Regions from separate parts of the Mus musculus genome. Here all the other regions are reported to be linked to region 1. Evidence: microRNA targets listed by miRTarBase, many of them from high-throughput screens and not tested one by one. Region 1 holds a microRNA gene; each other region holds the end of a gene's coding sequence.
What was found. Region 1 holds the annotated microRNA mmu-miR-450b-5p (UUUUGCAGUAUGUUCCUGAAUA, at 2,244-2,265, shown strand). A microRNA usually pairs through its seed, bases 2 to 8, with sites in the 3' UTR of a target mRNA and lowers its output. Matches are read on the target gene's strand: a 7mer-m8 pairs with bases 2 to 8, a 7mer-A1 pairs with bases 2 to 7 and ends in A, and an 8mer does both.

Region 2: the mRNA of Cabp5 is a reported target of mmu-miR-450b-5p. Seed matches in the 3' UTR shown: 7mer-m8 at 631-637, 7mer-m8 at 1,125-1,131 and 8mer at 1,183-1,190.
Region 3: the mRNA of Cdyl2 is a reported target of mmu-miR-450b-5p. Seed matches in the 3' UTR shown: 7mer-A1 at 5,140-5,146, 8mer at 4,124-4,131 and 7mer-A1 at 1,460-1,466.
Region 4: the mRNA of BC003965 is a reported target of mmu-miR-450b-5p. Seed matches in the 3' UTR shown: 7mer-A1 at 2,358-2,364.

Annotation. Positions count from the first base shown.
Region 1 is chrX:53,043,190-53,050,308 of GRCm38, reverse strand. Mir450b (microRNA 450b) reads left to right here and starts at 2,231; the gene lies at 2,231-2,312. Mir450-1 (microRNA 450-1) reads left to right here and starts at 2,065; the gene lies at 2,065-2,155. It overlaps Mir450-2 (microRNA 450-2), which reads left to right and starts at 1,942; the gene lies at 1,942-2,010. Mir542 (microRNA 542) reads left to right here and starts at 822; the gene lies at 822-906.
Region 2 is chr7:13,407,311-13,414,429 of GRCm38, forward strand. It overlaps Cabp5 (calcium binding protein 5), which reads left to right. Exons shown (of 6, transcript NM_013877.3): 6 at 473-1,568. The coding sequence ends at 498. Among named protein-coding and RNA genes, the nearest start is that of Cabp5, 13 kb to the left of the region's middle.
Region 3 is chr8:116,569,290-116,576,408 of GRCm38, forward strand. It overlaps Cdyl2 (chromodomain protein, Y chromosome-like 2), which reads right to left. Exons shown (of 7, transcript NM_029441.3): 7 at 1-5,998. The coding sequence ends at 5,840. Among named protein-coding and RNA genes, the nearest start is that of Gm31367, 33 kb to the right of the region's middle.
Region 4 is chr17:25,183,647-25,190,765 of GRCm38, forward strand. It overlaps BC003965 (cDNA sequence BC003965), which reads left to right and starts at 915. Exons shown (of 2, transcript NM_183150.2): 1 at 915-994; 2 at 1,074-4,016. The coding sequence starts at 963. The coding sequence ends at 1,452. Unkl (unkempt family like zinc finger) reads left to right here and starts at 4,754. Exons shown (of 15, transcript NM_001197024.1): 1 at 4,754-4,846; 2 at 5,820-6,029. The coding sequence starts at 4,770. It overlaps Gm52286 (a long non-coding RNA gene), which reads right to left and starts at 5,824. Exons shown (of 2, transcript XR_003952239.1): 1 at 5,470-5,824; 2 at 4,408-5,363.

The DNA of each region.
Region 1 (7,119 bases):
CCAACTGCTTTCATAGATTTGTTGTTTACAACTTTGAGAGATAAGTAAGGCAGACAAAGTTTCGAGAGACCTGAGGATTCTGAAGATGAAACCTGGGAAACTGCATCATGCAGACTTCATGCTGTGCCAGGTAACATTCCTGCCTGGCCATCAGAAGCTTACACCATAGTGATTAGGACAGAAAATGGAGCTGAACTAGTGTGTTTGGTTAGAAAAGGTCTAGTTGAAACTGTCTAGTCCTAAGAAGGACGAGTGAGAGTCTAACTGCTGGACACTTCCTAACTGAGGCTCAAGATTGACTTCATGATTAAGTAATGACTGTAAGTCACCTACCCATGCATGATTCAATGTGTACAAGCTTAAAAATTGTAAAGTGAATTCACTTTAAAGCTTTGATCCTTTCTATAGACTCAAGTAAATTAAGGGAGCAAATATGAACTAACCATAGAGATTAATTTAGTGGCATCCTCAAAAGAACGTTTTTAGTCATTGTGAATAATCATAAAAACTACCTAGAAACTTAGAAACATTCTTAAGATAACAAGCTTTTAAAAATCAAGGCCACAGAATTACACTAACTCTGGTGGCTGAAAGTAGAGTAGAAACTGGAAAGAAACTGCAAAACAAAGAGACTTTTTAAAAACAGAATTTGTAGTAGGTTGGTTAGCTGCTTATTTGTTTTGTTTTTTTTTCCCCATCTTCACAGTTTTGCTGTTTCTTTGTTTTGTTGTGCTTTGATTTGTGTCCCATTGTGAAATGCTACTCGCTAAAAGGTCTTTAAGGGTACTGGGAGATCCAGAAATTTGAGGTTACACATGCAGGGATCTCAGACGTCTCGGGGATCATCATGTCACGAGATACCACTGTGCCCTTGTGACAGATTGATAACTGAAAGGTCTGGGAGCCACTCCTCTTCCTAAGAATTGGTGGGGTGAGTATTACAGAGATGAGAGGTCAGGAGAGGACTGAGCCCTAGGCAAGGAGGAAAGGGGTTGCCATGGAGTGGGGGAGGGTATGGGTTGTGTTTTTATAGAATGAGAAGGGTTTTATTAATTTGCATTTCTATTCAGTCCACTGAAGCCTAGACAGGACATATGGTTTTATATATAGGCTAAAATATTAAAACTATGTTTTTCCTCAAACAAGAAAAACATTAGCTGTAAGCTTTAGAAAAACAGGTTACCTTAAAAATGTGGAGTCATATAAATAGCCATGAAGATAAATATACAAGCCACGGAAAGTCACGGAAAATGAAAAAACATCAGGATGTTTATTACTATTTATTTATTTATTTATTTATTTTTGAGGCAAGATCTTATGTTACCCAGACTCAAACTTGTGTAGCAGAGGCTCATGTTGAATTCCTTCCCCTCCTAATTCCCCCTCCCAAGGGCTGGCATTATAAGTGTATGCCATCATACCTGCTTGCAATTCTTTTTTTTTTTTTTTTTTTTGAGACTAGGCCTCACTAACTTGCTCATGCTGGCTTTAAATCACTCTCTAGGCCTGCCAGGAGGAATCTGCATCTGTGGCTCATTTGCCTCACCATCTATGTCACTGGGGTTACCACCTCCCTTCACTTCAGTCATTTTGAGGATAAAATGACTTATTAATAGTAAAGGGTTGCATAAATAAAATATGCTCTTCTAAGACAATGTGATAGGATGCTATCATTAAGATTGATATTTCTGAAAATAATTTTTGTGACATAAAGATGTGCCACAAACACTAATAAAAAGCGTTTAATGATAAACATGCAAAATATTTTCTTCTCCGTTTTAATTTTACATACATGGGATCAATATACAGATATAAGGCTAAGAGAACAGATCAAAATATTATAGTTATCCTGAGTTGTGCTTTAATGTTATTGAACAAATATGCTGGGGACTGATGCTGTGGTTGAATGATAGAGGAAGGAGAAAGGCAAACCAAGATGCTGAACTATTTTTGCGATGTGTTCCTAATATGTACTATGAGTATATTGGGGATGCTTTGCATTCATGGTTCTGCATCCATCATATGGACAGTCACCTCCAAGCTGTAGCACCACCAGTGACCAAAGAGAGATACTGAGCTGTTTTTGCGATGTGTTCCTAATATGTGCTATAATTATATTGGGAACATTTTGCATAAATAGCTTTGTGTCAATACACAGGCAAAAGGTTGGAAGAAAGAAGCTGCAAGTCTAACCATAGTTGTTTATGGTTTGTTTTTATAATAGGAATCAGATACAGAATTATTTTTGCAGTATGTTCCTGAATACATAACATAAGCGTATTGGGAACATTTTGCATGCATAATTTTGTATCAATATATGGGGGGAAGACTAGGAAGAAACATGACAAAACTTGAACAGAACTTATGTCTCTGGTATTACAGGTGATGTTTATTGTTGTCTTTATATTTTTATTGTTTTTTTTTACCAATTATTGTGTAAACAAAATGTTTTTCTTTTATAGCAAAAGAATAAACTTATTTTATTTTAGTACTAGAGTCTACATTGATTTTGGAGGGTGGGGTGGGACTTGAAACAAGGTCACCTAATGTAATTAACTGTGGCTATAGCCTCAGTATATAGTGAGGCTGGCCTCACTCTCATAGAGAACTAGTTGCCTGCCTCTGCCTCCCAGAGTGCTGGAATTAATGGCAAGTGCCACATACTTGGCTTTACACTGATTTTTTTTTTTTTTTAATCGTGAAACCCTGACCCATGTATAGAGAAAGATTTCTATGCAGGCAGTGGTTGGCCTAGACCACACTTTCCAACTTGTCTAGGAAAAGCCTACAGGACCACCATAAGGTCTGCCCTTCATACGTACATGTGCGCAAAAGACTCAAATACACTTTTTAAAAACTGATAATTATATTTGAGTTTTCGGGAGGTAGATCCTTAGGAATCTAACTGAATTGGGGAGCCCCAGGTCCCAGTGAGAGACCTTGTCTCAAAAAACCAAGGTGGGGATCTCTTGCGGAATGATATCTGAGGTTGACTCCTGGCCTCTATGCATTCACACACATGTCCAAGTATAAAAACACATTTACACACACAAACATCACACACTAAAAGAAAGAAATAAAATAAAAACACAACTGTAACGGCCAGGTGTGGTAGCTCAAGCCTTGTAATCAGAGCTCCAGGAGCTGGGGGAGGGTGTTTGCTCTCACTCTGTAGTGAGAGCCTCTCTCAAACCTCTGGGTCCACACAGAGTAATACCAGTGACTGCTAAGCAGACCGATGGCTCTTATCTAATCAAACACTCTAAACACAGAGAGAGTTGAAAGGGGCTTATTTTCTCCCAGGAGCAATTCAGGAAGGTGGCACTTGGATGATTGCTCCTGGCCTCAAGACACACTGGCTAGTTTGGGAAATGCCTGAGCCAGGGAAAGACCTTCCAGAAGGCCCACTCATGAATGACAGATGCCAGCAACTGGCTGTAGTTCCCCATCTACTGTCCATCCATCTAAATCCCTGGATGTTCCTTTGAGTACAGGAGACCTCCCAGTTCAGCTTTCCCTCTTCTTTCTTAGTAAGAGAGATGGAACTATATCTGGGGACTTAGTACAACCATGGTTTGACTGGTTCCTCTCAGGAGTATTTTTGGTTTCTTGGGATTTTGTTACTGTTGTGCCATTTTATTGGCATTTGTGGGTATGTGAGGTGGAGGGCTATGTGCACTCTGACTCACTTGTGGACATCACAGGACGTGTGGGAGTCAGTTTCCTCCTTCCACCATGTAGATTCCTGGGATTGAACTCAGGTCCCTTAGCTAAGGGGCAAGCTCCATTACCCACTGAGCCATCTTGCTATCCCCTCCTAAAGGCTTTATTAATGTTTCTCAGATTTGACACATTAGAAGAGGAGCTAGAGTCCACTCTGAGCCATTTATAAACACTCCAGGAAAACTCTCCCCCAAGAGCTAAAGCACTGTAGCAAAATCCGTATATTCCCTCAAGCAGACCTAGTGCAGTGGGAGAGATGCAGTCATTCACAAAGGTACTGGGAGATCATTCATCCCACAGAGCCTCACGCCCCACCCGTCTGCTTTAGAGCAACCACACAGCCAGACATATCCTTGGCAATGGGTTTTTCATAAACATTTGACTCTGCCACATTTAGTTAGAAACATTTTTCCTGGGAAGGGAGGATAGGAGAGAAGTGGGAGTTAAGATGAACCGGAGCCAGAGAGACTTTGGATGCACAAATCCCTTGCTCTGTATGGTTGAAAGCAGAAATAGGCAGGGTCTTGTGACCTTCTTCCATGCCAGGCCCAATCTCACAGAAAACTTCCTTCTACCCTGAATGATGAAAGCGACCTCCTTCCACATAAACCTCACTCTGGTCCTTGCTAGGCAAGGATTATGAAAAGGGAGAAGAGCCAAGGTGGGACCCTTCCTGAAATGGGAAGTCTCACCTCTGGGGCGGAGAAAGTAATAACTCCATCAATTTAATCACTGAGCTCCAGGCTCTCTCATTTAGCAGTGGACTAAAGTGGAGACTTGCATTTCCGAATCAGAATATCCTAGAATGTGGCGGATGGAGACAGCATGCCTCTTAGTTGGGAGGATGCCAAGCGGCCCCCGGAGTGGGGGTGGTGCAGAAGGGGGGAGGGTTTCCCTTTCTAACAAACCAGTCCTCCCTCGGTGCTCAGAAGAGGAAATGCAGTTGCAGGGAGAGGAAATAACTCCCAGCTAAGTCTTGCAAAGAACTGGTGGCCAACTTGAGTCTTGATCTACAGGCCTTTTTCTACTATAATACACTGGACCTAAAGGACAGACAGGGGTGACTTTAGAAGACAGTGGGAGGCATGTGGGACTTGAGGAACACCTTCAAAGGTGGGTGGGGCTGGAAGGGCCAGAGAAAATGAGGGAGTGAATTTCAAGCAGAGGAAGATGACAGGGGCACAGGCAGAGGCAGGAACAGATGGCTTCTGTCACAGAGCAGTCAGGAGCGTCTGGAGGAACCTGTCAAGGACAAATCCAGTTTCCAAATTCGGGCTGGGCTATACCCTGAGGGTGGAACTGTATCTTGGGGAGTGGGGAGTGCAAAATGCCCCCAGAAAACGATGGCACGAATTCCCAGAATGCAGACTTGATTCAGTAGTGAGAGATAAATTTACAGCAGTTTCTCTATTCAAAGAAGGGCAGATTAAAAAGAAAAAAAAAGCAGCTAGGCTCTCAAAGACCATTTCCAACTTTTGTATTTGTCTTGGGCTTCTCCAGCTCCTACCAGGCCAGCTTCATCCCGAGGGGAGAATTCAGGCCCCCAACTCCAGACATTTGGCTTTCCATCTGTTACTGCTGCCAAGGCTCTAGCCTCCAGGTCTTGTAACAGTTTGGGAAGGGGCTCTTTGCCTTCATAATATATCCCTCCCCGATCATAATCATGAGACTCTGGAAAAACTGTCAGTCATAGTAAATAGCCAAGCCTCTCCCACAGGACTCCAGCAGACAATCCTAACACCTTTTCCTTTTTCTATTGATTGGCCTAGAATCAGTTCATGTGACCGTAGCCTAGCTAGTCAGTGTACTTGCTACGAATAGGTGGTGGTAGTGGTGGTGGTGGTGGTAGTTGTGCTGTTTTGAGGATTTTGAAACAGGATCTCACAATGTAGCTCTGGCTAGTCTTGAACTTGCTATTTAAACCAGGCTGGCCTCGAATTCAGAGATCCCCCTGCCTCTGCCTCCCAGTGCTGGGATTAAAGGCCCAAATCACCATGCCTGTCTTTAGATTTGTATCTGTCCATTAAATACTGAATCAGAGAATCTCTCTTTTGGGGGGCAGTTTTTACCTGTAGAATTGTATCTAGCAGAGTCCTCCTTCTCATCTCTGAATTCTTGCCTCAGTTTCCTCTTTTATAGAATGAAGATTTGACAAAGTGGTCTATCTTGCTCACCACCATAGGACAGAAAGACAAATGGCACAGAGGACAGTGGCAATGATAGAGAGTAGAGATTCGAGAGGGAGGGAGAGAAAGCAGAGAGAGGGTTAGGAACGAGAGAGGGGAAAATGGGGGAAAGGGAGAAACTGAGTCCCCAGACAGAAGCTGCCCTGTGGTCAACTCCACTGTCTCTGTCAGTTGCTACAATGTGGTTTAGACTTCTTTTAAAAACTACTTTATAGCCCGGCAGTGGTGGCCCACACCTTTAATCCCAGCACTTGGGAGGCAGAGGCAGGCAGATTTCTGAGTTCAAGGCCAGCCTGGTCTACAAAGTGAATTCCAGGACAGCCAAGGCTATACAGAGAAACCCTGTCTCGAAAAACAAACAAACAAACAAACAAACACCCAAAAACAAAACTACTTTATTCGTTCATTCAACAAACATAACTGCCATGCTCTCCTGTCCAAGGACTAAGCAGGTTGGTCTTGCTTAATTTCTGAGGTCAGGAAAGTGGAGGGATACATAGCTGTAGTGTAGCCGACCAAGCACTTTCTGTGGTAGGCTCCATTCTGGGTCCAAATATGGAAAGGAACCAAGGTGTTCTTTCCAGACCTGCTTTCCTGCTGCATAAGGGCTAGATGGAACAGTGGTGCCTGTCAAGTAATAAAAGATTTGCTACTATAAGGACGACTAAAAACAATCTCTGGGTGAAGATTACCCAGAAGAATAATAACACATTCCTTCTAAATGTCCAGATTTGAAATCATCCCTGTTCATTGTCAGTAAAAATCGAAAAGCCAAAGAGTTTTGTTTTGGGGTTTGGGGACTTTTCAATTTTTAAAAAAAAATTATTTTATTTTATTTTATAGCTGTTTTTACCCACATATATATATGTGCACCATGTATATGCCTGGCTCCTGCTGAGGTCAGAAGAAGGCATTGAATCCCCTTGAACTGGAGTTTCTGATGTCTGTGAGCCACCATGTTGGAGGTGGGAACAAAACCCAGGTCCTCTGTAAGAGCAATAAGTGCTATTGAGCCATCTGTCCAACCCCTTGTTTGTTTGTTTTTTCGGTTGCATTTTGTTTACATTGTGTGAACAAGTGCATGCGTGTGCATGTGGCACTTGTGGAGGCCACAGAAGAAATCTGGGGGTACTCCTTCCTCCTTCCATCATTCACTCAGGAAATCGAACTCAGCTCCTCGGGCTTCGTAGCAGGCACCCTTACTCCCTGA
Region 2 (7,119 bases), not on the chromosome of region 1:
CAACTCCAATTCCAGGAGATCCAAGATCCTTTTTTGCTCTTACTGGGAATGACATGTACACGGTACGCATGTATACATGCATGCAAAATACAAATACACATTAAAACAACATCAACATCAGCAACAACTAATAAAGCCCCAGGTGCAGTGAGAGACCCATTTTCAAAGGAATAAAATAAGGAGGATTACAGAAGGACACAGGGCATCCTCCTGTGCCCTCTACATGCATGCACAGGTGCATGTGCATCTGTCTATACATTCATATAACATACATAAACACACATACACACCATGAAATAAAGTACTAATAATTTCTGTTTATAAGCTCTTAGTATTTTATGAACACTATGTCCTGAGAGTTCAATGACTAATATCATTGCCTGCAACATAGGAGAAGCTCCCCAAAGTAACTCCAGGTGCTTTACAGAGGAGCCTCACAGGAATGGTTGTTTTCTTTTCTTTCTTTCTTCAGAGTTTGTGAAGATGATGTCTCGTTGAAGAGGTAATAGAAGCTCCAGACACCTGCTGCCTTGTCAACATGGCTGAGCACTTGTAGAGCACTGGATACCCAGAATACCTTAAAGGATGGAGGGTGGGAGTAGGCTTGCCCCAGTATGGACTGGGGTGCAACTGCAAACACTTGCTTTGCTTCTTGGGAGCAGAGACATATATAGAAGCAAGTTTAGAAGGAAGACTCTATGTATATAAATCTGAATTATACTAGGATCTAGTGCCACTCAAGCATGCCAGAAGCTATGACATCATTTCCTAATCTCTTTCCCACCACATTCTCCTTCCATGACTCCCTTGGTTAAAAGATGGTGTGGGAACTTTTTCACAGTCCAAAAGAAAGAAAAGAAAGCCTTTCAAAAAGTTACACACATAGCTTATCTTTCCCCTGACTACTCTAAAAACGACCCCATTTCCTTCTCTTGGTAAGAGAGTGTCCCACTAGTCACAGGGTTATAATGAAAATCCTAATAAATATCAGTTTAGAAATGTCTCAGGAAGAGGCATTCACAGTTGTGTTTTTCCAGTTCCCCAGAAGCAGAGTCTGTCACTCCCCCTGTAAACATCCCTGTCCCTGCCCTAGTGTGAGATAACCCTGGAGGAACTGAGCTAAACTGCAAATCTGGATTATCAAGGTTTAGTACAAGCTGATCCCTGCGAATATTTAATCCCCTGCAAAATCAGAGAGAGAGAGAGAGAGAGAGAGAGAGAGAGAGAGAGAGAGAGAGAGAGAGAGAGAGAGAGAGAAAGAGAGAATTCCCCAAATCCCTAGCCCAAGCCAAGTGACTGCAGCATCCTTCCTGGAAGCCCTCTGCTGCTGTGTTGATCTATCCCTGGCTTCTCCGGGCTTCTTTCTCTACCTTAGGTAGTTTGTGAACTTCACCCCTCATGTATGGATCTGGACCCTTCAGTTGCTTTATCATTCAAGATAAAGAATTTGTGTCATATCTTCCTCCAAGCTTTTCTTGCATTGAAGTTCATTATCTAGAAATATAGAAAATGTCATCTGATCCTTGATCCAATAGCTTCAATTTACATGACTGAAATAAAGTAAAAGTAGAAGAAGATATATTTCCCATTCTCTTATCTGTGGTTGTGTTGTGTCACTATCCAGGAACTACTTGATTTTCTTTTAGTGTTTTTTTTCTCCCTTTCTCTCTCTCTCTCTCTCTCTCTCTCTCTCTCTCTCTCTCTCTCTCTCTCTCTCTCTCTCTCTTTTAGTATTTATGTAGCAGTTATCTCTGAATTGAAACATTTCAACCCAGAGGAAAGCTTGTTAAGACTCATGAAATCCTAAAGGAGGCTCCTTAAGACTCAGGAAGTAACTTCCCTCTTCTCAGAGGTCAAGTGGAGGGGGTGGTAATGGGAGGGTCTGTATGAGTGGGGAGATTGTTATGAGAGAGTGGGGCTGCAGTTGGGATGTAAAGTGAATAAATAAATTAATTAAGCAATGGAAAAAAAAAACAAGATACAGGAAGTATTGGTCTGGAAAGATACCTCTGCTGCTATTCCAGAGCACTGGAGCTTGATTCTCACATCCATATGGTGGTTTATAATCATTATAACTTCAGTTCTAGGGTATCTGGCTCCCTTTATGGTTTCTTTTTTTTTTAATTAGGTATTTTCCTCATTTACATTTTCAATGCTATCCCAAAGGTCCCCCATACCCATCCCCCCAATCCCCTACCCACCCACTCCACTTTTTTGGCCCTGGCGTTCCCCTGTACTGGGGCATATAAAGTTTGCAAGTCCAATGGGCCTCTCTTTGCAGTGATGGCCAACTAGGCCATCTTTTGATACATATGCAGCTAAAGACAAGAGCTCCCGGTTACTGGTTAGTTCATAATGTTGTTCCACCTATAGGGTTGCAGTTCCCTATAACTCCTTGGGTAATTTCTCTAGCTCCTCCATTGGGAGCCCTGTGATCCATCCATTAGCTGACTGTGATCATCCACTTCTGTGTTTGCTAGGCCCCGGCATAGTCTCACAAGAGAGAGCTATAACTGGGATCTTTCAGCGAAATCTTGCTAGTGTATGCAATGGTGTCAGCATTTGGAAGCTGATTATGGGATGGATCCCTGCATATGGCAGTCACTAGATGGTCCAACCTTTCGTCACAGCTCCAAATTTTGTCTCTGTAACTCCTTCTATGGGTGTTTTGTTCACATTTCTAAGAAAGGGTAAAGTGTCCACACTTTGGTCTTCGTTCTTCTTGAATTTCATGCGTTTGGCAAGTTGTATCTTATATCTTGGGTATCCTAAGTTTCTGGGCTATTATCCACTTATCAGTGAGTACATATTGTGCGAGTTCCTTTGTGATTGGGTTACTTCACTCAGGATGATACCCTCCAGGTCCATCCATTTGCCTAGGAATTTCATAAATTCATTCTTTTTAATAGCTGAGTAGTATTCCATTGTGTAAATGTACCACATTTTCTGTATCCATTCCTCTGTTGAGGGGCATCTGGGTTCTTTCCAGCTTCTGGCTATTATAAACAAGGCTGCTATGAACATAGTGGAGCATGTGTTCTTCTTACCGGTTGGGACATCTTCTGGATATATGCCCAGGAGAGGTATTGCGGGATCCTCCGGTAGTACTATGTCCAATTTTCTGAGGAACCGCCAGACTGATTTCCAGAGTGGTTGTACAAGCTTGCAATCCCACCAATAATGGAGGAGTGTTCCCCTTTCTCCACATCCTCGCCAACATCTGCTGTACCTGAGTTTTTGATCTTAGCCATTCTGACTGGAGTGAAGTGGAATCTCAGTGTTGTTTTGATTTGCATTTCCCTGATGATTAAGGATGTTGAACATTTTTTCAGGTGTTTCTCTGCCATTCGGTATTCCTCAGGTGAGAATTCTTTGTTCAGCCCTGAGCCCCATTTTTTAATGGGGTTATTTGATTTTCTGGAGTCCACCTTCTTGAGTTCTTTATATATATTGGATATTAGTCCCCTATCTGATTTGGGATAGGTAAAGACCTTTCCCAATCTGTTGGTGGCCTTTTTGTCTTATTGACGGTGTCTTTTGCTTTGCAGAAGCTTTGCAATTTTATGAGGTCTCATTTATCGATTCTTGATCTTACAGCACAAGCCATTGCTGTTCTATTCAGGAATTTTTCCCCTGTACCCATATCTTCGAGGCTTTTCCCTACTTTCTCCTCTATAAGTTTCAGTGTCTCTGGTTTTATGTGGAGTTCCTTAATCCACTTAGATTTGACCATTGTACAAGGAGATAGAAATGGATCAATTCGCATTCTTCTACATGATAACCGCCAGTTGTGCCAGCACCATTTGTTGAAAATGCTGTCTTTCTTCCACTGGATGGTTTTAGCTCCCTTGTCAAAGATCAAGTGACCATAGGTGTGTGGATTCATCTCTGGGTCTTCAATTCTATTCCATTGGTCTACTTGTCTGTCACTATACCAGTACCATGCAGTTTTTATCACAATTGCTCTGTAGTACAGTTTTAGGTCCGGCATGGTGATTCCACCAGAGGTTCTTTTATCCTTGAGAAGAGCTTTTGCTATCCTAGGTTTTTTGTTATTCCAGATGAATTTGCAGATTGCTCTTTCTAATTCGTTGAAGAATTGAGTTGGAATTTTGATGGGGATTGCATTGAATCTGTAAATTGCTTTTGGCAAGATAGCCATTTTTACAATGTTGATCCTGCCAATCCATGAGCATGGGAGATCTTTCCATCTTCTGAGATCTTCCTTAATTTCTTTCTTCAGAGATTTGAAGTTTTTATCATACAGATCTTTCACTTCCTTAGTTAGAGTCACGCCAAGATATTTTATATTATTTGTGACTATTGAGAAGGGTGTTGTTTCCCTAATTTCTTTCTCAGCCTGTTTATTCTTTGTATAGAGAAAGGCCATTGACTTGTTTGAGTTTATTTTATATCCAGCTACTTCACCGAAGCTGTTTATCAGGTTTAGGAGTTCTCTGGTAGAATTTTTAGGGTCACTTATATATACTATCATATCATCTGCAAAAAGTGATATTTTGACTTCCTCTTTTCCAATTTGTATCCCCTTGATCTCCTTTTGTTGTCGAATTGCTCTGGCTAATACTTCAAGTACTATGTTGAAAAGGTAGGGAGAAAGTGGGCAGCCTTGTCTAGTCCCTGATTTTAGTGGGATTGCTTCCAGCTTCTCTCCATTTACTTTGATGTTGGCTACTGGTTTGCTGTAGATTGCTTTTATCATGTTTAGGTATGGGCCTTGAATTCCTGATCTTTCCAAAACTTTTATCATGAATGGGTGTTGGATCTTGTCAAATGCTTTTTCTGCATCTAACGAGATGATCATGTGGTTTTTGTCTTTGAGTTTGTTTATATAATGGATTACATTGATGGATTTTCGCATATTAAACCATCCCTGCATCCCTGGAATAAAACCTACTTGGTCAGGATGGATGATTGCTTTAATGTGTTCTTGGATTCGGTTAGCGAGAATTTTATTGAGGATTTTTGCATCGATATTCATAAGAGAAATTGGTCTGAAGTTCTCTATCTTTGTTGGATCTTTCTGTGGTTTAGGTATCAGAGTAATAGTGGCTTCATAAAATGAGTTGGGTAGAGTACCTTCTACTTCTATTTTGTGAAATAGTTTGTGCAGAATTGGAATTAGATCTTCTTTGAAGGTCTGATAGAACTCTGCACTAAACCCATCTGGTCCTGGGCTTTTTTTGGTTGGGAGACTATTAATAACTGCTTCTATTTCTTTAGGTGATATGGGACTGTTTAGATGGTCAACTTGATCCTGATTCAACTTTGGTACCTGGTATCTGTCCAGAAATTTGTCCATTTCATCCAGGTTTTCCAGTTTTGTTGAGTATAGCCTTTTGTAGAAGGATCTGATGGTGTTTTGGATTTCTTCAGGATCTGTTGTTATGTCTCCCTTTTCAGTTCTGATTTTGTTAATTAGGATTTTGTCTCTGTGCCCTCTAGTGAGTCTAGCTAAGGGTTTATCTATCTTGTTGATTTTCTCAAAGAACCAACTCCTCGTTTGGTTAATTCTTTGAATAGTTCTTCTTGTTTCCACTTGGTTGATTTCACCCCTGAGTTTGATTATTTCCTGCTGTCTACTCCTCTTGGGTGAATTTGCTTCCTTTTTTTCTAGGGCTTTTAGATGTGTTGTCAAGCTGCTAGTATGTGCTGTCTCCCGTTTCTTCTTGGAGGCACTCAGAGCTATGAGTTTCCCTCTTAGAAATGCTTTCATTGTGTCCCATAGGTTTGTGTACGTTGTGGCTTCATTTTCATTAAACTCTAAAAAGTCTTTAATTTCTTTCTTTATTCCTTCCTTGACCAAGGTATCATTGAGAAGAGTGTTATTCAGTTTCCACGTGAATGTTGGCTTTCCATTATTTATGTTGTTATTGAAGATCAGTCTTAGGCCATGGTGGTCTGATAGGATACATGGGACAATTTCAATATTTTTGTATCTATTGAGGCCTGTTTTGTGACCAATTATATGGTCAATTTTGGAGAAGGTCCCGTGAGGTGCTGAGAAGAAGGTATATCCTTTTGTTTTAGGATAAAATGTTCTGTAGATATCTGTCAGGTCCATTTGTTTCATAACTTCTGTTAGTTTCACTGTGTCCCTGTTTAGTTTCTGTTTCCACGATCTGTCCTTTGAAGAAAGTGGTGTGTTGAAGTCTCCCACTATTATTGTGTGAGGTGCAATGTATGCTTTGAGCTTTACTAAAGTGTCTCTAATGAATGTGGCTGCCCTTGCATTTGGTGCGTAGATATTCAGAATTGAGAGTTCCTCTTGGAGGATTTTACCTTTGATGAGTATGAAGTGTCCCTCCTTGTCTTTTTTGATAACTTTGGGTTGGAAGTCGATTTTATCCGATATTAAAATGGCTACTCCAGCTTGTTTCTTCAGTCCATTTGCTTGGAAAATTGTTTTCCAGCCTTTCACTCTGAGGTAGTGTCTGTCTTTTTCCCTGAGATGGGTTTCCTGTAAGCAGCAGAATGTTGGGTCCTGTTTGTGTAGCCAGTCTGTTAGTCTATGTCTTTTTATTGGGGAATTGAGTCCATTGATATTAAGAGATATTAAGGAAAAGTAATTGTTGCTCCCTTTTATTTTTGTTGTTAGAGTTGGCATTCTGTTCTTGTGGCTGTCTTCTTTTTGGTTTGTTGAATGATTACTTTCTTGGTTGTTCTAGGGCGTGATTTCCGTCCTTGTATTGCTTCTTTTCTGTTATTATCCTTTGAAGGGCTGGATTCGTGGAGAGATAATGTGTGAATTTGGTTTTGTCGTGGAATACTTTGGTTTCTCCATCTATGGTAATTGAGAGTTTGGCCGGGTATAGTAGCCTGGGCTGGCATTTGTGTTCTCTTAGTGTCTGTATAACATCTGTCCAGGCTCTTCTGGCTTTCATAGTCTCTGGTGAAAAGTCTGGTGTAATTCTGATAGGCCTTCCTTTATATGTTACTTGACCTTTCTCCCTTACTGCTTTTAATATTCTATCTTTATTTAGTGCATTTGTTGTTCTGATTATTATGTGTCGGGAGAAATTTCTTTTCTGGTCCAGTCTATTTGGAGTTCTGTAGGCTTCTTGTATGATCATGGGCATCTCTTTTTTTATGTTTGGGAAG
Region 3 (7,119 bases), not on the chromosome of region 1:
GGGGCACCGGGGAACATTCTTGCTCTACTAAGCAGGAAGTGGGATGGCTTGATGAGAAACTAAAGAGATGGACATCTGGCAGTCACACAGGATGTACTACCGAAGACCTAGCTGCAAAACTTCAGCTGGAGGCCCACGTGCAAATGGAAGAGTTGACCGTGGTTAGATACCCGGAGGGATCCCTGACCTCCGTTTTATAATGGGATAAATGAAAACTTAAGGCTATACAAGCAGAAACACCCACCTGAGATACTAAGTTCCCATCTCAGAAACTCTTCCTTCAGAGCCTTTTTTCAAGAGATATTCAACTTCTCTGCATGGCAAGTCAGGGAGCATGAGTTTGGGGGTGGGAGGAACCAAGGGTTCCTCTGTGCCATGAAACTCACACATCTGGATGCAGATGTGCCTACAGCTTATGAAACTCATGTTTGGTTGGAATAATGGAATCTTTGGTCCTTGGTTTTATGAAAGGCAATTATTTTTTCACAATCTAGCTAACGTAGACATTAGAAAATAACTTCAAGCTGGGACTAATGGCACAATGGTAAGTTAAAGACTAGATGGAGCACTCAACACCCTCTGAATATCCTGGAGTCGGTAAGCTCCCACATCAGACAAGATGTCGGGGTAAGGAGGGTGAGGCAAACCCAGAGACGTAAGGCTGAAGCTTCACTCTAGACATCAGGTCTCCTGACTGACACATGCCAATCTTAATCCCAAAGGCTGAGAAAGTGACTTTGGACACTTCCTAGAGATGGACCGCATGCTAAGCCACATAGCCCTAAATGCAAAATCCTACTTCAAGGGTTGGTAAGGAGAATCAGCCAGTGATGGCTGGAGTGCCACCTACCAAAAGATATTATAACTTGATTTTTGAGACTTAACTCTACCCTCTGTGATTTTTTTCGCCATCGAAACAGCCCTGGACGAACCAGGTCACCTGCTGCTCCCTCTCTGTAGCTACAGTACCTTCATCCAGCACACTTCACCCTAGTATGGCTTGACACACACTTCCTCACAGAAACACCAAGGACATATGGCGATGCCGATGATGGAACAGAAACTGACTCCAGATTGTCTACACAGCAAGACTCTTATGTAAACTTTGTTAACATCTCTCAGAGAGCACGGACTTTAGCTACCCTGGGGTCCCCAGCAGGGTCAGGAGCAGGAAATGTCATTTGTTTAGAACAAATGGTGAGTTAGCAGCCCTCCCTGGCACCATCCCTCAACCATACTACTAGAATACAAGTGGCTCAAGAAAACCTACCCTCGGTCCAGTCTTATGGCCAAAGACATTCGCCGAGGAATCCACCTGGTCCCTGCCGCCATCAGCTCCTCCCACCACTCTCTTCAGATTAGCCATGAGCGACTTACAGACTGCACTGAGCCCACCAACATGGCTTACTTGGAGGAAACAACCCGTATTACCCTTTTAATTAATTAATTATATTATTATTTTTGCAACAAGCTTAAGGCTCTTTTCCGAACTCCATCAACTGCCACACAGTGAGAATTTATGGGGGGGGGGATCTTGAACTACACGTGTAGTTTTGAAAGGTCAGAAGGATTATTGAACCTAATGGTAAGGCTTATTCACAAATTCAATACATTTTCAAATTAGAATTCAAACGTAATGACTTCTAGAGAAAAAAAAATTGACTTGATTTCTTAATAATGTATGACTATCTGATTTTAAATTAAAAAAATTAAAGACCAAAAAAAAAAAAAACCCCAAAACATTGGCACCAAACCAATATGAGATATATTTCACCCCCAAAGGAAAAGGTGATATTAATGGAAAAGATTGCCTAAAACGCATGTCCTAATTTACCACAGAAATATAAAAGTTTATATTCTGAAAATATATTTACTGTATTAAGGTCTATAAGCATTTCAACCAAAACCTGCAGAAAGAATGATGTGACAATTAGCAACAACAAAAAACACACATGCAAGACAACCCCCGCCCCGCCCCAAAGATCTATCTACAAAACCAAAGTGTACATTTCCAAGATTTTACAAAACCATTTACAGGGAATAAAATAAAATACTCAAGAAATCTCATGTGGAGTCTTAAATACTGTGTATATTAGTGAGGGCATCTTGGCTCATACATACAACAGATCTCAGTATCTTAATAAAGAAACACAGAAGAGAAGCAAGCCCTCCTTCTAAACGTCCCCATAGGAAGATTGGTGGATGTCTCTATTTTTAATTTTTATTTTTTTACAAAAAAAAAAAACTTCAACAGAAATTAGATTGAAAAAGAGTGGGGATAGGACTAAATTCCAAACTAGAGAGAGAGAGAGAGAGAGAGAGAGAGAGAGAGAGAGAGAGAGAGAGAGAATTTTGTTTTTTAACAAACCTTTTAAGAGGATTTTGGAAACCAGCAGTTAGTAGTGAGGGATAGGACTCAGCGTTCAGTCAAGGCTATTTGTAAAAGAGGGATTCGGAGATTTAAATATGCCTTGCCCAGTGTCTCCTGTCATTATTTTCCCGTCCTCAGGTTGAACTTCACTCAGGGAAATCATCTTTTCCCGCTTCCGAGAGGATATTTCCCAGTTTGATTTATGCCACAGAGTAAGATTTTACGTCATTTCCCCATTTTCCCCCAGTCCCCGCCTTTCTCTGCATATGTGTTTCCCTCGGACTTTACTTCTGCCCAGTAAAGGGTCACCCAAGAACACCCACATTAGGTGGTGGCTTCCCAGTGCTGAGGTGGTCTGGCCATCTTAACCATAACTCTTCAAAAGTCGCCTGGGATCTGAGCACTTAACCCCAGCCGGGTCATATGGGAGTTGCCACCACCAAGGTTGTGGTAAACAGAGGAGAGTCTCAAATGGCTTGCTAGAGGGAACCTTGACTTAGAAGAGGAAGCCTCTACCTCTCACTCATAGCTGCCCTTCCAAGTTCAATAGGGACACATACACCAGGCCTGCAAAGACATCTAAAATTCCTCAAAAGATTTACTTGGGCCCTAGGAAAGGGTGGTAGGAAAAGGAACAAGGAGAGTAACAGGTCAAGCAAAAGGACCTCATGGGAGGAGAGAGGACAATGGGGTACAAAGTAAAAAGATGAGAGAGCCAGCACCTGACCTCAATAAAGCTTTGGGGGTAACCTGGACACAACCACTGAATTTTCCATCCCAGCTCAATCTGCTATATGTGGGTCACCTGGATTCCAACTCCACACTACCCAAACAGCCAGCCTGAAAATGCCAACTCCTGTGGTTTGGCCAGCCCAGGAGGTTGACTAAATGCCTTGTGTCCATGTGGCAGATCTACCTCCTTCCAACAGACGGAACACAGTCTTTAAAAACAAGGGGTGTAAATCCCACCTCAGAAATGGTCAGTGTCTACCTCAGTCATCACAGATCCTCAGTATGTTCGGAAGTGTGGCGCCCATCAAATGGCCAAGAGAGAAAGCATATCTGGTTGTATGCTCAGGAGTCAAAGATGACTGCTGATCACAGGGATTTCTAAACATCCCGTGCTATTTCTAGAGAGAATCCTGACAACTTGCTTCCCTATGGACAAAACTGGCTTGATCAGAAGCTAATCAGAAAGGTTTGGGGGAGGTGTTTCCTATAGAGGAGGCAGCGATCTGAAAGAGTTACTCAGACATGTAAAGAACAGGAGATGTCTTAAGGGCGTGGGGTTAAGTGTACATGGAGCTCATCCCAGCAGAGAAGGGACAAGAGGCTCAGGCTCCTTAATTCTCTACACCCCAGTCAGCCCACAGCTCCTACAGTGTTCTATAGGGACTCCAGGGGGCCACATGCTCCAATTTCTTTTTCCTGTGACCAAATACAGCCAAGGTGACTGTACTCTCAGGCTCCCCATGGCCAAGGTGGCACAGGCTGGTGGAGAATAGGGACTTAAACTCTTTTCTTCCTGAACCCTTCTGAGCTCTAAAGCATTTCTATAGAGCAAAGCAAGGTCATTCTAAGGCCCACAAAGCCATGTGCATACGCGGGAGCCATAGTCTAGAGCCAGGTCACTAATTCTCATGCAAACGTTCAACTGTCTGCATCCTTCAGAGCTTAGGGCCATGTATCCCTCCCACTTGTGACTGGGGCAGCTATTCCCATTCAAGGGCAGCCAAAGAGAACCATCTCTACTTTTGCAGCCCACCTCCCCTCCACAAGCTGTGCAGACTCTGCGCTGTGCCCGGCTGTCACCAAGGAAGGGCTGAGAAAGGCTGGGAAACTCAGAGGGAATTGAAGAGAAAGAACAGCGGTCAAGGTTGTCACCCATCTAGAACTAGCCTGGAACCCCACGCACGCCCCATGGTCTAATTTTCTCTAAGCACATGATCTCAAATAGGTGTGAGGTCCCAACCACAACGACAGGTCCCTTCCATTTCCCATCTCTTCATCAACTCACACCCAAACTCTCCCCCAGTGCAGACTTCCAACTGGATGACATAAAGTCAGCTACTGGAGGCTCCAGTAGGCTAGGGCCAGTGGGGCAAGGAGACCTACATGCTGGATAAGGCTTTGCTTGTATTCTCTCAGCTTAAAAAAGAAAAAACAAAAATTAAAGATTTATTGTTCAGGTTTGGACTGAGTTTTGTTTTTTTCCTCAACACCCCCAGAAGGCCAACCAAGACAGTAAAGTTCATATGGAAGGAAAAGTCTTGGAAATCCAAGTTCACTTATTTATCCTAGAGCAAAAAAAAAAAAAAAAAAAAAGTCTCACCCTAGGCAATATATCATCCTAAAGACGGGCTGCTCGCCATCCCTTCCTAACATCACGACTTTAGGGACGGGGCTGACACAGAGCAGAGTCCACCATTCTCCTGAATGACAGAGACTAAGAGAGAAAATGCCACCGTGACTTGTCCTTGAAGATTAGAGAACTGGCATTTTTGTCACATGAGCCGCACACAGAGGGTCTGGCACAGGCTTGTGCCTTTTTAAAATCCCTTCTCTTCTCTCTTTCCACGTGGCTCACCGCAAGAACGCACCAAACGGCGTGCACCTTGAATAGTATTTGGTCCAGGGTGGTATGAAAATAAGATCTGTGTGAACAATAGGCTTCATAATATATAAACAAAAATAAATAAATAAAATAAACCCAAATAAAGAAAAAAATTTCCTAGTAAGTCATGTTCTTCTGTTTTTTTTTCTTTTTTTTTTGCAAAACTAGCTTTACATATAATACACATAAATTATCAGAATTTCCACTTACACGTTGTTTTAAAAATATATATTTAACAAAACGTTTCTAAATGTACAATATCTGGGTTTGTAAATCACTCAGTTGGGTATTAAGACCAAGCCCTAAGAGTCACACCGAGTTGCATTGGAGAGAAGACTGAAGCCAGGCCTATGTAGTCAAGAGCTTACCGCACGCTCGTTGGTCTGTGGGTTCCCTAAGACGATCGTTCCCTGGTCCCAGATCACATAACCAGAGAACTGTGATGGCCTCATCTCCAAGTTGGAGGCACTGTGTAGACACAGACTGAGTCGGGAGGATGAGGGAGGTTGGTCTTCCCCCTTCTGGACCAAGGTAGGAGAGTTTCAGCTAGTGGGGGAAAGGTCGACAGGGCCTGGCGGAGCGCTTAGAAGATGGATCCCTGGAAGGCTCTATGGCTGGCTGGGACAGGGTGCACAGGGAGGCCAAGGGTGCTGTGTTTGCCACCTTTACACAAAATCAAACCAATGAGGAACAACCGAAGGGCACGAGGAATGGATACAACCGTAGGTGTGAAGACACACCCCGACAAACTCTTGGCTAGGGTGGACCCTGGGCTCCGATGGTAGAAACACACACAGGGCCCGGCTGGGAGTCTGAGACCCTTGAGCAAGTGGGGGCAGGTGAGCCGGGGCCCTTCAGACTTCATAGATTTTGTCCTGCAGATAGCTGAACAGGGAGTCCAGGCCCTTGGAGGAGCTCCAGAGCTGCTTCAGCATGACGCACTCCTTCTCGTTCACCTCCTCCAGCACTGACTTCAGGAAGCTTCGGACCAGGCATTTGGACTCCTCCAAAACCTGGAAAGAAACGCATGCTGGGTTAGCTCTCCCTGGGGCTGAGCACTGTCCTGAGGGGCTTCAGGTGGTCAGGGTGTTGAGCCTGTGACCATGAGATGGCTATGGGAGAGAAGCAGGGTACTCGGGGGCCTTGCCTAAGGTGACATATGATCGGTACCGTGTGTGTGTGTGTGTGTGTGTGTGTGTGTGTATGTGTATATTATATGTATATATGTGTGTATATATATGTATATATGTGTGTATATATATGTATATATATACACACATATATATATATATTCACACACACACACACACACACACACACACACACACACACACATATATATATATATATACTCCTTCCCAGCACAGGTTCTCATATATACATATATACACATACATACATACACACACACACACACACACACACACACACACACACACACATTATACATGTAGTTTCTGGAATATCAATCGCAGGTCTCCATGCTTACACAACAAGCACTTTGCCCATGGGGCTGAGTCCACACAGCCTCTTGGTGCTATTTGCCTATGGGTTTCATGACCAAGTTTGCAAACCATTTTTTGACGCGGCCCCATGGATGATGAACAGAGTCATTTTCATGACCTGTCAGGAAGAATAACCAAACCCAAGGGTCCCTATGAACTCAGAAGGAGGTGATGAGCTGATCTCATAATGGTCGTTGGAGTCGTTGGAGTCCCCACAGGATGCTCTTTTAGGCTCAGCTGTTAACAGTGGTGGTCACTGCAGTCCAGGGTAACAAGGACCATTAGCAGTCACCACCATAAGAATGGTTGCAGCCTGTAACAATCGTGGCAGTGAATAATAACTGTGTAAATTGGAGAAATGAATCACACTGCACCATAGTAACAATTTTCAGCAAGCGCAGAAATGGTTGTGGTTAGGAGCAATAATAAACTTAGTAATCAACATAAAACCCACACCAGTGAGCAATGATGTAGTGAGATGGCAATGAGTAAGCTCACTAATACTAGAGAAATGAGTGCTAGTAATCGTAGTGCCGAACAACAATAATTGTAGCATTAAAACTGCACGAGATGAACAGGCTTCATGGACATATTTTTTTTTCTGATCTCTTTGGCTTCTCTAGTTCACA
Region 4 (7,119 bases), not on the chromosome of region 1:
TCATGTCACTGGTTTACAGATCAAGAATAAAATCGGAGTGATAATCATTATTGAGCCCTGCGGTAAGACCAGGTGTAATATAACTCACTCTAGCTTCTACACAGCACAGGTACTAAGAAGACAGACACCTTTAGGGCTGATCCTCTTTTTTTTTTTTTTTTTTTTGTATTTTAAATTGGGTTGATGTTAAGCTGTGTAGTACTTGGGACCAGTGATTCTCTTCTATCTGCCTCCACAGTATTGGGATTACAAGGTTGCCTGGCTGATTCTGACGATGCAGAGCTTCAATCAGCTTCCAGATCAAAAGGCCAGGTGCACGTTAGCTATGGGAGTGTAATTTCAGAATCGCCTCCCTGTAGGCTGTCCGAGATCTGGTCAGCCTATGGTCTACACAGAGCCATTTCCATTCTTCCTGAAGGCAAATGGATTCTGGGGACCTGGGATAGTCTAGGTGGAGGTGATGTTTCTACAAGCCTTTTCAAAGGGACGGCCAGGCCGGGAGGCGTTTAAGGCGCGAGGGTTTCCCGCCTCCGTGCCTGAGAGCTCGGATGGAGCGCTAAGACTGGAAGATGCGCTCATGGAGAACAGGGACCAAGTCCCTCCCGGACGATGGTCCTGGAAAGAAGCCAGCAGATGCCACGGGTTCTCAAGTCCTTGGGCATCACACTAAACAGCCTCGGGCCAAGCTCTTCGGAGAACCGAGTCTGCTTCACTTTCAATCCGCCGCGCCGGATCAGGTCTCAATGGAAGGACCCAGAACGACACAAACCCGTAAGTCGTCCAGATAGTGATCAGGGCGAGGCCGGAGACGGAAGAGCTAGCGAGAGGAAATGCATCATTTCCGTTGCGCCGCTGGACCCACGTTTTGTAGTCGTGAAATTGGATGTGAAGTTCGGCTTCCGGTTTTGTGCGACGGAAGTGACGAAAGCGCGGTGCGCCTCAGCGTGCGAGTCGAGGTCGCTATGAACAGTGTCCTGTGCTCACGGGCTGCGGGGTGAGAGCCGTGAGGTGCCGGTGCGTGAGGGTGGGAGGTGGCCGTGGCTCCGGGACGCTTACTGCTGTCTCTCTTCCAGAGCGGTCCGGGCTCTGCGGCTCGTGGGCTGGGCTTCGCGAAGTTTGCATCCGCCGCCCCGTGGCCGGTCTCCAGCTCAGCCTGCAGACAGGGAAGAGGAGGACGACGACCCCAACCTCCCGATCCAATTTTCCGGCAGCAAAGCCACCCCGATCCGCTGGACCGTGGAGCATTCCCTGGGGAAGCCGCAGCAGCGGCCCTGGTGGAAAGTGCTGCCGCTCACCCTCACACTCGTGGCTCTGGTTGTATGGTGCTACCAGAGGGAGGAGAGCGGCATGGACCTGTGGTTGAGGCAGGTGTTGGAAGAGGAGGACGAGGAGGAGCCGGAAGGTCCTCCGGAGGAGCTTGAAGCTCCGGCCCTCTACGGGGCTAGAACGTAACAGGGTGCGTGCTGAGGAAGGGACTAGGCAGCCGTCCTTTCGTTGTTGAATTTGACGATTTCTGAACTGGTTCTGCGCATGTCCTCGTTGCTTAAAGGACTTGGATGGCGCTCTTGGCGCTGAGACACAAGAACACAGCACAAAGTTGGAGGCTTGAAATCTGATCTTTGCCGAACACCAATGCCCAGTGATTACGTCCATAGAACTTTTGAGGTTCCTAGAAAAGGTTTTGGGTGCACCTTATGCTCTTGAGTTATGATGTGTTCATACAGCCTAATCATGTTTCCAGCGTTCATCTGGTGGAGGTGTTACCTGCAGTTCATTCGCTTTCCGAGACAGACTAACTGCTGAAGTGTAATTACCTATATGTGTGCAACATCAGTTGAAGCTATTTTAAAAACTAACAAATGGAAAATACATTTGGTAAAGTCTAATGAACTCAATTTTCTCACCTCCCCTTTCATCATCAAGTAGGCTTTGGTTTTTTTGTTTTGAAACACAGTCCCCCTATTTAGCTCTGGCAGGCCTAGAACTGGCTATGTAAACCAGCCTTGCTGTAGACTTAGATATCAGCCTGCTTCCTGCTTCTGCTGCCATCTTTTTTTTTTTTTTTTTCTCTTCTGCTCTTCATTCCCACATGAGAACTTAAAAACTTGACAGAAGTGGTAGGGTATGCTTGTCATCTCAACACTTATGAAACTGAGGCAGGAGGATCCTAAGTTTGGGGTCTGCTTGGGCTACGTAGGGAGGGCCTGTCTCAAACAAAACAAAACATCAATAATATAGTGGGTTGGTTTTTTTTGTTTGTTTGTTTCTGTCTTTTTCACAGTGTTGTGATTGAACTCAGGAGTCTATTGTGCTATCCTACCAATGAGGTCTGTTTCCAGCTCACATAGAATTGCTTTTGCAAAAAAAAAAAAATGTTACATTTCATGCAGTGGGTTCTCAGTGCTGCCAGGCTGATAACTTATCTGAAGTGATGTGGGCATTTGAACTCGTGAGCAGAATAAGTGGGGACACTCACTACACCTCTGCTTTCTCGTTTTTTTTCTTTCCTTCCCCCTTTCTAATTTTTCAAGACAAGGTTTCTTTATGTAGCCCTGGCCATCCTGGAATTCTGGCTGTATCCCTGGCTGGCCTTGAACTCAGAGGCAGAGGCTGCGTCCGCCTCCTGAGTGGTGGGATCAAAGGCGAGCACCACCAGATCTGAGTTTCACATCTATTTTACGGATAGGAGAATAGGTGTGTTAGCTAAAGGGTTACTTAAATGTTTATTTTATTTATTTATTTATTTTTTGTGCTATGCTTTTCCAATTTCCCAAATAGACTGTAGCTTGTGTTTTTCCTATTGTTTTCAGCCCAATGAATTCTCTGGGTGAGTGCCCAGCAAATATCAGGTAGGGAGAGGGCCTGTAACTAACTATAAGCCAGCTGCATGTACAAGACAGTAGATAAACTGTTGGGCAGAAAGAAATGATTGAATAAAACATGTTCTTTTGAGGGAGGAGGAGTTAACGTAACTGACGCTTACAAAATTAGATTTACTTTATGTGTATGTATGTGCATCACATACATGTCTGTTGCCTATACAGGTAAGAAGAGGATGTCAGATTCCCTGGAACTGGAAATACAAATGGCTATGAGCAACCATGTAGGTTCTGGGAACTGAACTTGGGTCCTCTGGAAGAGGAGCCATTCACTGTGAGCAATTTCTCCAGCCCCAACAGCCACTTTGTGTAAGCTCTTGAAAATGGAAAGGCTCAGTAGTGTTGGAAGTGAGCTGTTACACAGATAAAAACCTGTTAGTTCTGTTCTGAGCCATAGCCCTCGAGTACCAGCTTCAATAAAAGGACACGTCTGGCCCTTATGTGGGTGTCACAGGTGATGTCTGCAGAGGAATAAAACACATCTTTTGATGAGAGACCTTTGCCCATGTCCACAGTCAAGGTCGCTGAGTTCCACCATCACTGCTATTTGCTCTCTGTCACACCTTACAGAGCCAGCTTCTCTCTCTCTCTCTCTCTCTCTCTCCCTCTCTCTCTCTTTCTCTCCCTCTCTCTCTCTCAGATTCCTTAGGTTGTCTTGTGTGTTTCTCCAGGCTGGACTTGGGGGTTGACCTAGTTTTCATTCCCTATCCCTCAGCAGTCTGAGACACATTTATTCCTCTGTAGGTTCCCCTGTCTGCCCTTCCCTGCTTGCTCATTCTTCTATTTGATCTTTGAAAAAACAATGTTTCTGTTTGCTGGGACTGCCTACAGCTCACTATCCATCCACATGCTTGTGCAACCATTAAAATAAGTCCTTTAAACTAAGTTAACTTCAGGGTCTGTGGGCTAGGGGAAATGCTCAGGGATAAGTGCTTAGCCGGCATGGACCTGGGTCCGGGCACGCACATGGCTCCGGGTTCTACCTCTAGCACCCAAACCAAACCAACTCACTCTCCAAAGTTGTCAACAACTCAAAGAATTTGTCTACAAAAATGTCATATGAAGAAGTCAGTAATCCTACCAGCAAATGGTAATTTTACCTTACTAGTACTTTAAAATATAGCATACATACCTGGACCGTGTATGTCTCTCTGTTAATATTTTAGATCGTGTTTCTGGAAATGGGATAGGTTTTCTGTAATCCTCCTTTCTGAAAACATCCCTCTCTTTTCTGCCCATTCCTTTCAGAACACTTGTGGCTGTGCTACTCAGACTTTATCCCTCAGAGCACACCCGCAGTTAGCAGAGGAGCTGTGGTCACTTTACACACCAGTGAATGCTAGCCCTGGGTTCTCCCGAATTCATCCTAGCACTTGCGAGTCCTGCCCGCCACGTGCAGTTAGCATTCTGCGGACCCCAGATCAGTCTGATTACTGACCACCCTGTACATCCTTTACCCGATGGGCTCATCTGGCAGCATCTTACGCTGTGTTTTTAAAAAAGTGGCTCAACAGAATTCACACTCGGATTATCCTTAAATTCACAAATTTAATAAAGGGGCGACCATCGTCACAGTCTAATTATAGACTTTTTCCAGTTCAAAGAAACCTGTGCCCAACAGCAGCCCTGGACGCAGAGGCCATCATGGGGACTCTACACCAACGGGCGTGTCCCGCCTTGCGCCTGTAACTTGCTGCCGTGGTGGGCCGGCAGAACCTGTGTGTCACCCCCGCCGCACAGCGCGCGTGGGCGAGGGGTCGGTGGGGGCGTGGCCGGCGTGGCGTGCCCGGGGGTGTGGCCGGCGCGGCGGGGGGCGCAGGGGGCTCGGTGCGGGGGGGAGATCCGGGGGCGCCGGCGCGGCGCATGCGCGCTGCATTGTTTTGACTGAAAATGCCGTCGGTTTCGAAAGCGGCGGCGGCGGCGCTGAGCGGGTCCCCCCCGCAGACAGAGAAACCAACCCACTACAGGTCAGTGCCTGGGCTGCGGTCCGTGGCCTTCTGGGCGCTGCGGCGCAAAGCAGCGGCCCGCGTGCGCCACGGGCCCCGGTGTCGCCGCTGTGGGTGCGCCCCGCCCGCGCCCGCGCCCCCGCCGCCAGCTCTTGCGGGTCACGCCGTCCAGGCGCGGGCCGCCGCCTAAGGTGGAGTGGCAGCGCCCAGGGTTTTCGGTGACCCCTGGCTTGGGGGCTGGACTTGCTCCTGGTCTCCGGCGACCCCGCGCGCCAGACTGGAGTCTGGGGAACAGCGCCTGCGTTCGTAGCTCAGGGCCGCGCCTGGGCTGGAGGTGGGCGCACGGCCATCCGGACTCGAGCAGTCGCTGCCTGAGGTTGAGAGGCGGTTCCGGGGTCTGGGGTGACCTCTGGGCTGGGGGCGGAGCCGCACCTAGAGTCCGGTGGCCGCTTGGTTGTGAGCCCGGGGGTCGTTTCTGCGGCGCAGAAGAGGGGTTGCGCCTGGTGTGGGCGGGTGGCGCTTGCAGTCCATCTGGAACCTATGAAGGTAGTCGAGCGGGAGACCGGGACTGAGGATTGAGAGGTGGCTCCAGGGGTCAGGGACTAGAAGGGGGCAGAGAATGGAGTGTACTTCTGTAGAGTTACCTGGGATCAGAGTTGGTGATGGCCTGCTAAGAGGAGGTCTATGCCTCGTGTCCGGGAATCTTCTTATCTGGGGACTGGGAAGTGGTATTTGGGGTCAGGGAACGGAGAGTCTGCCTGACTGGAGTTACCTGGTCTCCGAGTTGGGAAGTGACACCCGGGGTGCTTTTAAAAAAGGAGGGTACCGGGCCATGGCAGTCAGGATCGCTCAGTGTGTGTGTGTGTGTGTGTGTGTGTGTGTGTGTGTATTGCCGGGGGTGGGGGATGCTTCTCGTCTGGGACCCTGCCCCGCCGCATCCCAGGGGCCTCCAGCCGGCGGTGGCTGCGGCCCGCAACGCTGTTTGTCTTTTTAGGTATCTAAAGGAGTTTAGGACAGAGCAGTGCTCCCTGTTTTTGCAGCATAAGTGCAGCCAGCACAGGCCGTTCACCTGTTTCCATTGGCATTTCCTAAATCAGCGTCGTCGCAGACCGCTCCGACGACGCGATGGCACCTTCAACTACAGCCCGGACATATACTGCTCCAAGTACGATGAGGCCACCGGCCTGTGTCCCGATGGTGATGAGTAAGTGGGGTTCCGGTGGGTGGCTCATGGTCTTTCCTCAGGATTGGTGTTGACTCTCTGATCAACAGGTTTTTGAGGTTTCTGGTTTTTTGTTTTTTTGAGACAGGGTGTCTTTATGAAGGCCTGGCTGTCCTGAAACACTGTATGTAGACCAGACTGGCCTCAAACTCATAGTGATACCTGTCTTGGCCCCTTAAAGTGCTGGCATTAAAGGTGTATGCCACTACACTGGTCTCCTTGCTTCTTTTTAACACCCACTACCTGTAGAGGGAACCTCATTTTTATTCAAGACTTCTCGGGGTCAGTAGAGTAGTGTGCTTGAGGGGTTCCCTGTTTGTAGGCTAGTTTCCTAAAAGATGATGTATGTGTGTTGTAGGTGAAAATCTTTGGTAATTCAAACTGATTTTGATTCACTTACCACCCCACCCCATCCAATGCTCTACTTTAAAACTGGCCCATGTTTTGCCAGCCATCTGATTTAAAACGGTTTTGTGTGGTCAGTTGTAAGTGTGTCATGTGTAACATGTAAGTGTGGAATATTTTCTTGCTTATGTATGTATTTTAAAGAAGAGTAGCAGAACTGTTATTCTGATAAGGATTTGTGAATTGATTTGTGGACAGGAGCCCGTGATCTGCTTATGTAGGCTAGGACTCTTTAACACTGTGATGCGTTCTGCTCATTTGTAGTTGTTTTTTTGTTTTGTTTTGTTTTTTTTAATGGTAGGAAAGTTGTTTTATTTGCACGTTGTCAGTTATGTAACACTTTTGGATTTTAATAAGTCAAGGTTTTGTTTGGGTTAGTTTATATTTTACAAGTTTCCTAATGGTGTTATGAACAGATGTCTTTCTTTGTGTGCATGTGTGTGCTTGTGTGTGCAGGTGCAGAGTGTGGCGGCTCACGCGCCAGTGCGTACACACACGATTGGAGTTCTCAGGTTAACCTTACATGCTGTTCTCACCTTATTTTAAAACAGGGTCTCTCACTGGCCTGGAGCTGGTTAAATCGGCCAGACTGGTTGGCCTGCCTGCAGGTGCCAGGGGCCAGCTGTCTCTGTCTCCCTAGCATTGGGATTACAAGTGTGTGCCACTG